Saccharomyces cerevisiae S288C: one gene and its partners. The protein of the gene in region 2 binds, or shares a complex with, the protein of the main gene of each other region. Each region holds a gene or a part of one and is shown on either strand. Other genes may lie near its edges. The genes, in order: POP3, POP4 and POP6.

Evidence for each region.
Region 1: POP4 (region 2) and POP3 share a complex: the UniProt entries of both Saccharomyces cerevisiae proteins name them as parts of the nuclear RNase P and RNase MRP complex.
Region 3: POP4 (region 2) and POP6 share a complex: the UniProt entries of both Saccharomyces cerevisiae proteins name them as parts of the nuclear RNase P and RNase MRP complex.

Annotation. Positions count from the first base shown.
Region 1 is NC_001146.8:105,559-108,808, reverse strand, and holds POP3 (Pop3p), read right to left. Parts: upstream 1,123-3,250; coding exon 535-1,122; downstream 1-534. Other genes in the region: HCH1 (Hch1p), read right to left, coding at 1-342; WSC2 (Wsc2p), read left to right, coding at 2,114-3,250. UniProt on the Saccharomyces cerevisiae protein: Required for processing of 5.8S rRNA (short form) at site A3 and for 5'- and 3'-processing of pre-tRNA.
Region 2 is NC_001134.8:726,770-730,271, reverse strand, and holds POP4 (RNase P/RNase MRP complex subunit), read right to left. Parts: upstream 1,388-3,502; coding exon 548-1,387; downstream 1-547. Other genes in the region: SHG1 (Shg1p), read left to right, coding at 110-538; RIB5 (riboflavin synthase), read left to right, coding at 2,170-2,886; RCF3 (Rcf3p), read left to right, coding at 3,198-3,260, 3,355-3,502. UniProt on the Saccharomyces cerevisiae protein: Required for 5.8S rRNA and tRNA processing; associated with RNase MRP and RNase P.
Region 3 is NC_001139.9:545,154-548,292, forward strand, and holds POP6 (ribonuclease P/MRP protein subunit POP6), read right to left. Parts: upstream 1,005-3,139; coding exon 528-1,004; downstream 1-527. Other genes in the region: IMO32 (Imo32p), read left to right, coding at 1,288-2,316; NAG1 (Nag1p), read right to left, coding at 1,656-2,147; 1,3-beta-glucan synthase GSC2, read left to right, coding at 3,111-3,139. UniProt on the Saccharomyces cerevisiae protein: Component of ribonuclease P, a protein complex that generates mature tRNA molecules by cleaving their 5'-ends. Also a component of RNase MRP, which cleaves pre-rRNA sequences.

The DNA of each region.
Region 1 (3,250 bases), on a different chromosome or scaffold from region 2:
CGACAAAATCGGAATATCAGACTCGTCATGCATAAACTCTGGAATTTCTAGTTTCCCGTCCGCAAGTATGCCGTCATCATCCTCGTCGTCCTTATTAGTATCCAAATTTGTCACTTTGACGTTCATCGACAACTGTAAGTCAAAGTAGCAAATCGGCTTGCCCTTCCTTTGAGATACGTTGGAGTCACCGGTGATGCTACTCACCTGGGTTAACTCAATTTTGCTCTTCCCATCAGAGGAAACAGTGGACAAACTCGTTAATTTACCGTTCAAGTAGTCCTTAGACCAAGGTAAGGTGTTTTTATCCACCCAATGCCAGTTATTTGGATTCAAGACAACCATATTTTATCGTAAATGTGTTGTAACTTTCCGATCGTTTCAAACTTTAGTAGTAGTTTGATGATTTTGTCCAAAAAGTATTTGCTTAAATTTCAGCTTTTTTCTTCTTCATATGTATTTCTTTTTTTCCTCGCTTTCTCTGCCCACTTTTTTCTTCTGTCTTCTAGAAAAATAGGCCTGCGCGGGTAATTTTGTCTACTTTTGCCTCTTCTTCGAGACAATTGGCACTGTAGTTTTCAACAGCTTGACAGATGTGGGCCGATACTTGATAGCATTTAACCAGGGAAACTGAAGCAGATCAACGTTCTTCTGGATCTGCGATACGAATTTCTTGTCGACCCTATCGTCGCACCGCAGCAGCAGCATTCCATATTTAGAAACCGACTTGAAGGTATCCATGGCACTCTTGGGCAACTGCACCAGTTTAACCGTCATGGGCGCCATATAGCATAATAGCGGGATTTGCTGCAAGAGCACAAGCGGTACATCAGGGTCCTTATTGCACACAAATAGACATACTGGGTCGCTGTTTCCGTGAGCGCCGCTCAAATACTGCACAATTTCATTGAAATCTGTATACAGCTCCCAAGGGTAGTTCTCCTTCGATTGAATGTGAATCAACTTATTTATGATAGAGGATTGCAGCAGCTGCCAAATCAATGGCTGATCATGCACGCGCGGCCACATATGTGCTTCGTTTGTGAACGGATTGTCTAGCACGGGCTTATACACCTGCCTTCTTTTAGCTATTTTCTTGTCTAGAGATTTTAACGACCCGGACATGCTACTTACCGTCTTGATTTCCTCACCTTCCTTCTTGTTACAGTCCTCATCTCTATATCACTCATAATCTGAAAAATTTCACTTAAGCACGCAAATGCTATTTTTTACTTATTGCCCGCACGAGAAAATCAGAGAAAATTGAACTATGAGAACGGTATAGATCAGGGAATACATATCTGAGAACAACATCAAATATCCGCCCTGGCAATAGGATGTGCATAATTGCAGTTAAAGAGTGCATCGCATTTCCCCCGATTTTTGTTCTACTGAAAGTATGAACCCTGCTGTCGCGTTGGCCAGAACAGCCAGCTAGACCAATGCACCTTTATCACGTGACTATTACCGGGTAAAGTTACGGACATTTCGCGTTTTTTCCTGTTTTTTTTTTTTTTCGCGGTGCGGTGTTTTGTGGGAATGTGTTTGTTTACGGACTGTTTCGACATTAAGCAGAATGTTTCAACAGTGAGCCATTCTTGATTTGGTCATCTGGGCCCTATCTCCTTTTACTATGAATTTGCATATGTTTGTATGTTGTGATCTAGCACTTCTCCCAGAAGTGCATTTACAGCAGGTTTTTTGTTTCGTTTTATAACACTCTGTTTCGGTCTTTCTTTTTAAGATTGTCAGGGAAAAGAGTTCCAGCGACTGCTTTATACCTGTCCTCCGTCCTTCGAAGAAATAAAGAGGAGAAACCCTCAACGTAAAACATATAAGCAGTTTTCAAATCATCCACTCGCTTTTTCAATTCTTTACTATTGCTCAGCACGACCAACTATAGCTCAAAGCGTGGCTAGCCTTTGATTTACCATTATTGCTCTTTTTTTACTTTCATTTCTACCTTCGTTTTTCGCCAAAAGAAAACAAATCTAGTGAAAACAAACATTGCTGTTCGGTTATAGGACACGCTTTTTTGTATTTTTACAGACTTTCTGGTTTCTAATTGTTTCTTCTTTGAATTTCTTTTTGACCAACAGCATTATAGAAGTGGAATATGCACCTAGATCTCATACACAAGTCCTTCATCTTAGTGTGGCTCATATATATACGAGCCGCGTTGGCTGACCAATTCACATATAAAGCTTGCTATTCAGCTAGTGATATACGAAAATTGGGGTTGACTTACAAGGGTGTTTACGAGTATCAATCAGTTTCCTACTGTCAAAATGAATGCCCTGGTCAGGCTGTCGTTGCTCTTTTCAACGGTACAGGTTGCTACTGTGGTGGTTCCGTAGCTCAGTTACAGTCTTTGACGCAGGTAGATTCGAGCAAATGTGATGTTTCGTGTGCTGGCTGGCCCTACCAAAATTGTGGTGGTTCTTCTGCCATGAACGTTTATATCAATAACGCTGCTTCTACCGCGGACTCAACTTCATCTACTGCTACCTCAACATCGACAACATCTTCATCAAGCACAAGTGTTAGTTCAAAAACGTCCACGAAATTGGACACGAAAACTTCAACTAGTTCTTCTGCTACGCACTCATCCTCTTCCTCGTCTACAACCTCCACTACCACTTCCTCTTCAGAGACAACTACTTCCTCCTCTTCTTCATCCTCTTCCTCTTCTACGTCTACTACTTCTACTACTTCTACTACCTCTAGTACTACTTCTACTTCTTCTTCTCCTTCCACCACTTCCTCTAGCACTTCTGCCTCTTCCAGTTCAGAAACGTCCTCTACGCAGGCAACTTCTTCATCCACCACATCGACCTCATCCTCAACTTCGACAGCAACGGTCACTTCTACCCCCTCATCGACTTCAATAGGTACTTCCACGCATTACACTACCCGTGTGGTGACGCAGTCCGTGGTTTCTCAAGCTAACCAACAAGCAAGCACGATCTTTACCACCAGGACCTCTGTTTATGCAACAGTATCGTCTACGTCCTCCTCTACTAGTTCTCTCTTAAACGGGAAATCGAGCTCGTCCAAGAGCAAAGGCTTGAGTGGTGGCGCCATCGCAGGTGTCGTAGTAGGTGTGGTTTGTGGTACAGTTGCCTTGTTGGCTCTGGCGTTATTCTTTTTCGTATGGAAAAAACGTCGCCAATCTTCTCAGCATGTGGACTTGGAAGAGACAAAGCAGTACCAGCCGTACTCACTGGGTGATGCTGACGCTAACCCTGTTATT
Region 2 (3,502 bases):
ATCTTGAAAACGAGAGATACTAGAGAAATAATACGTAAGAAAATCAGTTCTTTATTTAGCGAAGCTGAAACACAGTATAAGAGAGTAGAGCTTATTTCAAATCCAAAAAATGGCGTATAATCAAGAAGATAGTAAAAGACTATCAGACAAGTATAAGAAGGAGGGACATTTTGACAAGTTGAAAAGAGAAATATTGTCTAACCCATGGAATAATACAGAAGAGAATAGTGAATCTTTTGAACAAGCGCTTCGGAAAAGAGTTGCCAGTACTGTTAAAGAAATGGTTAACGAAGATGAAGAATTAATATTTAAAAACAGAGGGCTAACCAGTGCATTGATTGAATCACAATTGGTCAAGGACAACTACCTAAAGCTGGGTAGTAAAATGGAGGGGGATAATGGTGATGGTGAGAAGAAATTTGACTTGGATGTCTATGTACGGTCTAAGTTACAGGATCCCAAACTATTGGAAATGATAAAGGGACAACTTCAGGAAACACTGAACTCTTATGAAGAGGAAGCAAATGGAAGTACGTAATAACTCTTACTAATTCTGTATATAATATAGCATATCATCACAACGACGACTTTTGAACTTCCTGCCTGCACGATCCACACTTCTGTACTTGAACCTATCGCCTAGTATACTATATCTCAATGCCGAATCGTCGTCATCTGATATTGGGATTTCAAATTGAAATACTGTGCCCTTTTTTGGAATGCATTTTATTTCGTCTATTATATTGCCCTTGACAATCATGATAAAAAATTTCTGAGAGTCCCAGATCACAATGCCTTGAAGGCCTATTAAAGTCTTATTTTTGCTCTTTGTAACGCGTAACAGCGCACCATTATAGTCTGCCATAGATAGTTTTAATAATGCTAATGATCCATTGAATGTTTTTAAGTTTTTTGTAATGTTCAAAAGTTCTTTAATATAGTTAATCCATAGTTCCTTATACATCGGTACAAAATCAACGTACTGCGGTAATGATTCGTATATCGTTGGATGCTTCTCCTCTATGTAGTGTAAAAGGTCTTCCTTATCAGTAATTTTATTTTCGTATGCCAATTTCAGACATTTTTTTGTATTTTTTTTACAATTATTGATGTACTCTCTTAATGCGATTTTAGAGTTCTTGTTGATTCTTTGGTAATCTCTTTTTTCCAACTGTTTGTCTGCACTCTCTAACTGGGAGACCTTTTGTAAATTGTCAAGATTTAGCTTTGATTTTCTTTGCTGTCTCTGAAGCCTTGAAGTCAATCCGCCATCAGTTGGCAGTAGCAACAACGTATCTTGAAATCTATTTTCATTAAAGGGCTTTTCAGGGTCCTCCAGGCATTTCGTGAAAAGACAGTCTTTAATAAACGTTTGAGTTCTATCCATTCTGACAAATAGGGGAGTCCAAATCGTGCTTATTTTCTTTAGTCTTTACAGATTATTGCTCTCCGCTTATTCATGTCATCGAGTATATTTGCCATACTATTTTGAGTACCATTTTTTTTCTCAAATCAACGGACCGGGTAAAAAGCGGATGAATTGGGATATAAAGGCAGTAAAAAGACCACCACAGCTGCAACCACGGAGAATAAACTTCTTTAACTACCCCACAAAGCTGCCAGTAATGCTCAGTTTTCCATCCTTTGCATGAGCTTTCTGTAGAAATTTAACATTGTGCAATTTTTCTTGTATCCAAAAATTTTACATCGATTCAAAAAAAATGAATATTGGCTAGTAAAACTATTCATACTGCTATAAATACACCTGTTATGACATAAAAGCTCAAAAACAATCTGCATGTTTTTTCCTCTTTTTTCATTTATGGCTAGCAATCTCTTTTATTGATTTTTGTCGCGTAGGTATTAATGTTAACCCAGGATTCATTAATGTTGCCTCTGTGGGAACGATTACCCCCGGTAGTTATTTTGTGTTCAAGCTCGCTGTAAAAAGATCACTGTCTTCGATATTGGTTTATATAAAACTAAAGTAGCCGCCCAAGTACTCTCCGGGTACCAATTCCGTCCTTTTCTTTTTTTTCGGTAATTTCCATGGAGGAAGGTTATTGAACTATCTATTAGTCATATTCCAGATCCATCCAAATGATATAAAAAGACGGTACTTCCTAACGTACATGTCAAACCAATTGGTGAGATCGTAACCATAGCACAATGTTTACTGGTATTGTAGAATGCATGGGGACTGTTTTGGAAAACAACCCATATGATGACTCTGAAAGTGGAGGTCAAGGAGTTTCTATTACTATTGGCAATGCGGGGAGTATTCTCACCGATTGTCACGTTGGAGATTCAATAGCCGTAAATGGGGTATGCCTTACTGTGACCGAGTTTAATAACGACTCCTTCAAAGTTGGGATATCACCAGAAACTATAAAACGAAGTAATGTCGCTTCCTGGATTCAAGGCACCCAGGTCAACTTGGAGAGAGCGGTATCTCAAGACGTTAGGTTCGGTGGTCATTATGTACAGGGTCACGTAGACACTGTTGCTAATATTGTCTCAAGAAGACCTGAGGGGAATTCAATTATTTTTGGGTTTCAGTTAAGAGATCAAGAGTACTTTAAATACATAGTAGAAAAGGGATTCATTTGTATAGATGGAACTTCCTTGACCATAATCAAGGTTGACCCACTTTCGCAAGGTGGAGCCTTCTATATTAGTATGATAAAGCACACCCAAGACAATGTTATCATGCCTTTGAAGAAAATTGGCGACGAGGTTAATATTGAAGTAGATTTGACTGGGAAGATTATTGAGAAGCAAATTCTATTAACGTTGGAAAACCAAATATCAAAGAAAGATAGTACTTTGAATACTATGATCTCAAACATTATCGAGGAGAAGGTTAGAAACTACCTAAATAAATAAATAAAAAATTCGTCATAAATAGGTTTCATAAACGCATTTTTGAAGTGATCTCTCCATCTGCTGCAAAAATAGTCTTGTAAATGTGTGATAATGATGAGATTAGAACTTGGTACTGTAGCTAAGGTACTTAGGCAACTTCTCTTCATTATGTATTACCATGTTCTGTTGGTTCACGTGACATGCAAAGGTATAACTTTTTCCGTACAAATTATTCTCTCCACCTTTTTTGTGTTGTTGTGAAAGAACTTTCCAATTATTGCCACTGTAACCAACCGTCCCTAAATACCAACGACACAAAAACTGCTGCTACTATGGGTGGTAACGTTCTCCCCATTCATTATGACCCCAAAACTGTTAAACAATTAACTAAAGAAGTATGTAAAATTCAAGAATATATCTGGCCCTGTCTTGTTCACCCCAGAATAAATCGCTAACACAAGTCTAATTAACCTTCTTTCTCATTCGTAGATTACTGTTGCATCATGTATAGGAGCTGCCCAAGGTGCTCTCTTCAGTATTGCCTCAGCGCTGCTGTTGAGAAGATTTTCATCAGTATATAGAAATGTCAGAACTCAAGTGCGTGTTTTTTATCATTGTTCTTGGATTTCAATGGGTG
Region 3 (3,139 bases), on a different chromosome or scaffold from region 2:
TCATTTTACTTTATATCTAGTGAAAAGTAGAAATTGTTTAAGGGAACTACTTCACAGTGACCACTGATACTAGAATATGGAAATAAGAAAAGTTGCTAAGTAGGAGCCTAACAATCTTTTTTTATATTTTTCCATATTCCTTTATTGTCATGGGTCAAGACTGTATATGTTAGTGAAAGTTTTAGGGTTCTTGTGACAAACTTCACCAACATAAACATGGCCTCTTCGAAGATCCGTAGATTTTGCATTTTTGCGGTGGTTTATGGATTCAAAGCGAGGCCTAAATTAACGATCATGTCTTTGCTATTATATCAGAGGGCATATCATTGAATTTCCGATTTCCAAAGGGAAGAAAATAAATAAAGTTGTGCTATTTCCATGCATCCTTTTTTCTTTCATTCAATGACACATACTTCTTGTAGTAGGAACAATTGGTAGTTCTGATATCGATTAAGCCTTCTAAAAATGCTTTATATTATAAAGTACAAATGCAAGAAGTAGCTATGGATGCTAAAGAGCTGGTCGATTTATTGTTTGGTGAATGAATGTAGGTTTAAATCAATGATCTCTGAATCAGAAACAAGGGTGACCAAAATTGGAACCTTGAGCCTTTCTTCCTGTAGTTCATTTCTGCCTTCTCTTTTTATATCGAACGATGTTAATTTATTCCACTGATAAATTTTCTTATTGTTCTTAATATAACCCTTTTTAAATATTTCCAAAATACTTAACATTTTTTGAATATGTGGACCGTAAGAGAATATACAAACTACTTGTTGTAGACCCAAACTTCTATCTGCCATGTTGATTTGTTTATCTAACTTATTTACAGACTTCTTAATGTTATCGTTCTTCGATATGCCATGATACTGTATTGATGTACTGTTGTTACCATTATTTGCTAAGGACGGTATAACTGTTTCTTTGAGAAACCGAAGACATTGAGTGGAGGAAGAGATATCCAAATCTCTACTAATTTCATTGTAATATACGCCATTGATCATTTTGATTTGCTTTTATCTTTTTTTCTTCTTCTTCTTTTCAATCTCTTCCAAACAATCTTGGCCTCATCTTCATGGAATTTTTCGAAATACTCATCAGCAAGTGTCCGATGCCTTCTCAATTTTTTCCAAGAGCGTGCGGGGGTTGGTTATCCAGTACATGTGTTGCTTGAAACTGCCAACAAAAAAGAAAAGAAAATAAGAATATATTAGTACGCCAATAGTAAACGTCACCCCGAGGTTTAAAAACTAACCGTGATATACGAGGAGAATTGGTAACGGTACAATGATGATACTGGGTAAAGCCGGGATCCTGGCACAGTATGGGACAATATATGTGAGACAAAATACCATTCGGAATAATTTAAGTTCCTGCATTTTTAAGCAGTCACTATGTGCCTTTCATTCATTAGCAAAGGTGCTGCAACAAAAGCAAGTCCCACTGGACCTTTCATATGACATAATCAAGAGAGATGCAGTAAAAACTGGGGATGAAGGGAAGCCAAGACCACCTATTATCATACTTCACGGCTTATTCGGTAACAAGCTCAACAACCGAAGCATTGGCCGTAACCTTAACAAGAAATTGGGAAGAGACGTGTATCTGCTGGACCTAAGAAATCATGGATCCTCACCACACAGTTCAGTCCATAACTACGAAGTCATGTCGGAAGACGTGAAACACTTTATCACAAAGCACGAATTAAACACCAATGGAGGCCCTATTATAATAGGACACTCAATGGGTGGTAAAGTTGCCATGATGCTGGTCCTGAAAAACCCGCAACTTTGTTCGATGTTAGTCTGTATAGAGAACGCTCCGGTGAGTTTGCGCCCTAACGCTGAGTTTGTCGAATACATCAAAGCGCTGATGGAAATCGTCAACGACAAGGGCAAAACTATCCGCACGCTGAAACAGGCTGATGAACACCTTGCAGAGAGGATCGGCGGCAATGAGCTAGTAAGGCGGTTTCTCCTAACGGCGCTGAAAAAGGTCAAGATGGACAATTCATCGTCTGTGTCGTCATATACATTCGAAGAACGAATTCCCCTCGCAACACTGAAAGATGCCATTGTCAAAGGTGAAATTGCCGCGTGGCCCCTAGATCCTGCTCGTGAACGATGGACGCGGCCTGCGCTATTCATCAGGGCTACTCAATCGCATTATGTGGTAGACGAGTATCTTCCGATCATCGGCGCGTTCTTTCCACGCTTTGAAACACGTGACATCGATGCGGGTCACTGGGTAAATGCGGAGAAGCCTGGGGAATGTGCCGAAAGCATCGTCGATTTTGTGGAGCGGCACGAGGATTAAAGGCAAGCGCCCCGGAGCAAGGTGCCAGTAGCACCAGTCGGTGGCTGTGCGCTTGCCGTAGCACATGACATACGGACTATTGTGTGAGTGGTGATGGGGTGTAGGCAGTGCCACACCAGTTTAAAGGCCTAGTAACGGCAAATCGCCAAAAGAGATGATGCTGATGCATACGATAAGATCGTCAGTTTCACGTTCGCGGTTCGAACATGGAATTGTGGCTAAAGAAATTTGGGCGGTATGATGCAAATGAGGTGTACGTATGTATATATAGCAAAGAGTAGAATAAAATGAGATAAAGCCTCGTTCGTTCTCTCCATTTCTTCCCTGTTTCTCCTTTATTTTCTCTACTGCTTATTTCGAGTTCACCAGAGAACAAGAGAGCAGGAACGCAAAGAGTGTGTGACACGAAATTCAAGATACAAAAATAAAAGCTTACGTTGTGTATTTCAACTGGTGTGCTAAGAATAGAGTTTCATAAAGTACTGCATTTATTCATATATTATTTTTGTTATTTGTATATATACTTCACACTTAGAGTTCTACTAAAAGTCTACCCAGCACGCATCCTTCGTTTATTTTTACATCTCTCTTTTGCTTTTCCTTTTTTTTTTTGGTGCTTGCTAGATACTACTGAAGATCAAAGGTTACAAAGAACGCCGCATATATTTTCTGCAGGCATATTAAAGAAGTTACAAAAGGATTAATCGAAGCGCTGTTTGGATACACTCCTGTAAAGAGAAGAAAAGGAAAAAAATAAAAAGTGGACAATAAATAATTATTAAACTGTCATAGTTATGTCCTACAACGATCCAAACTTGAATGG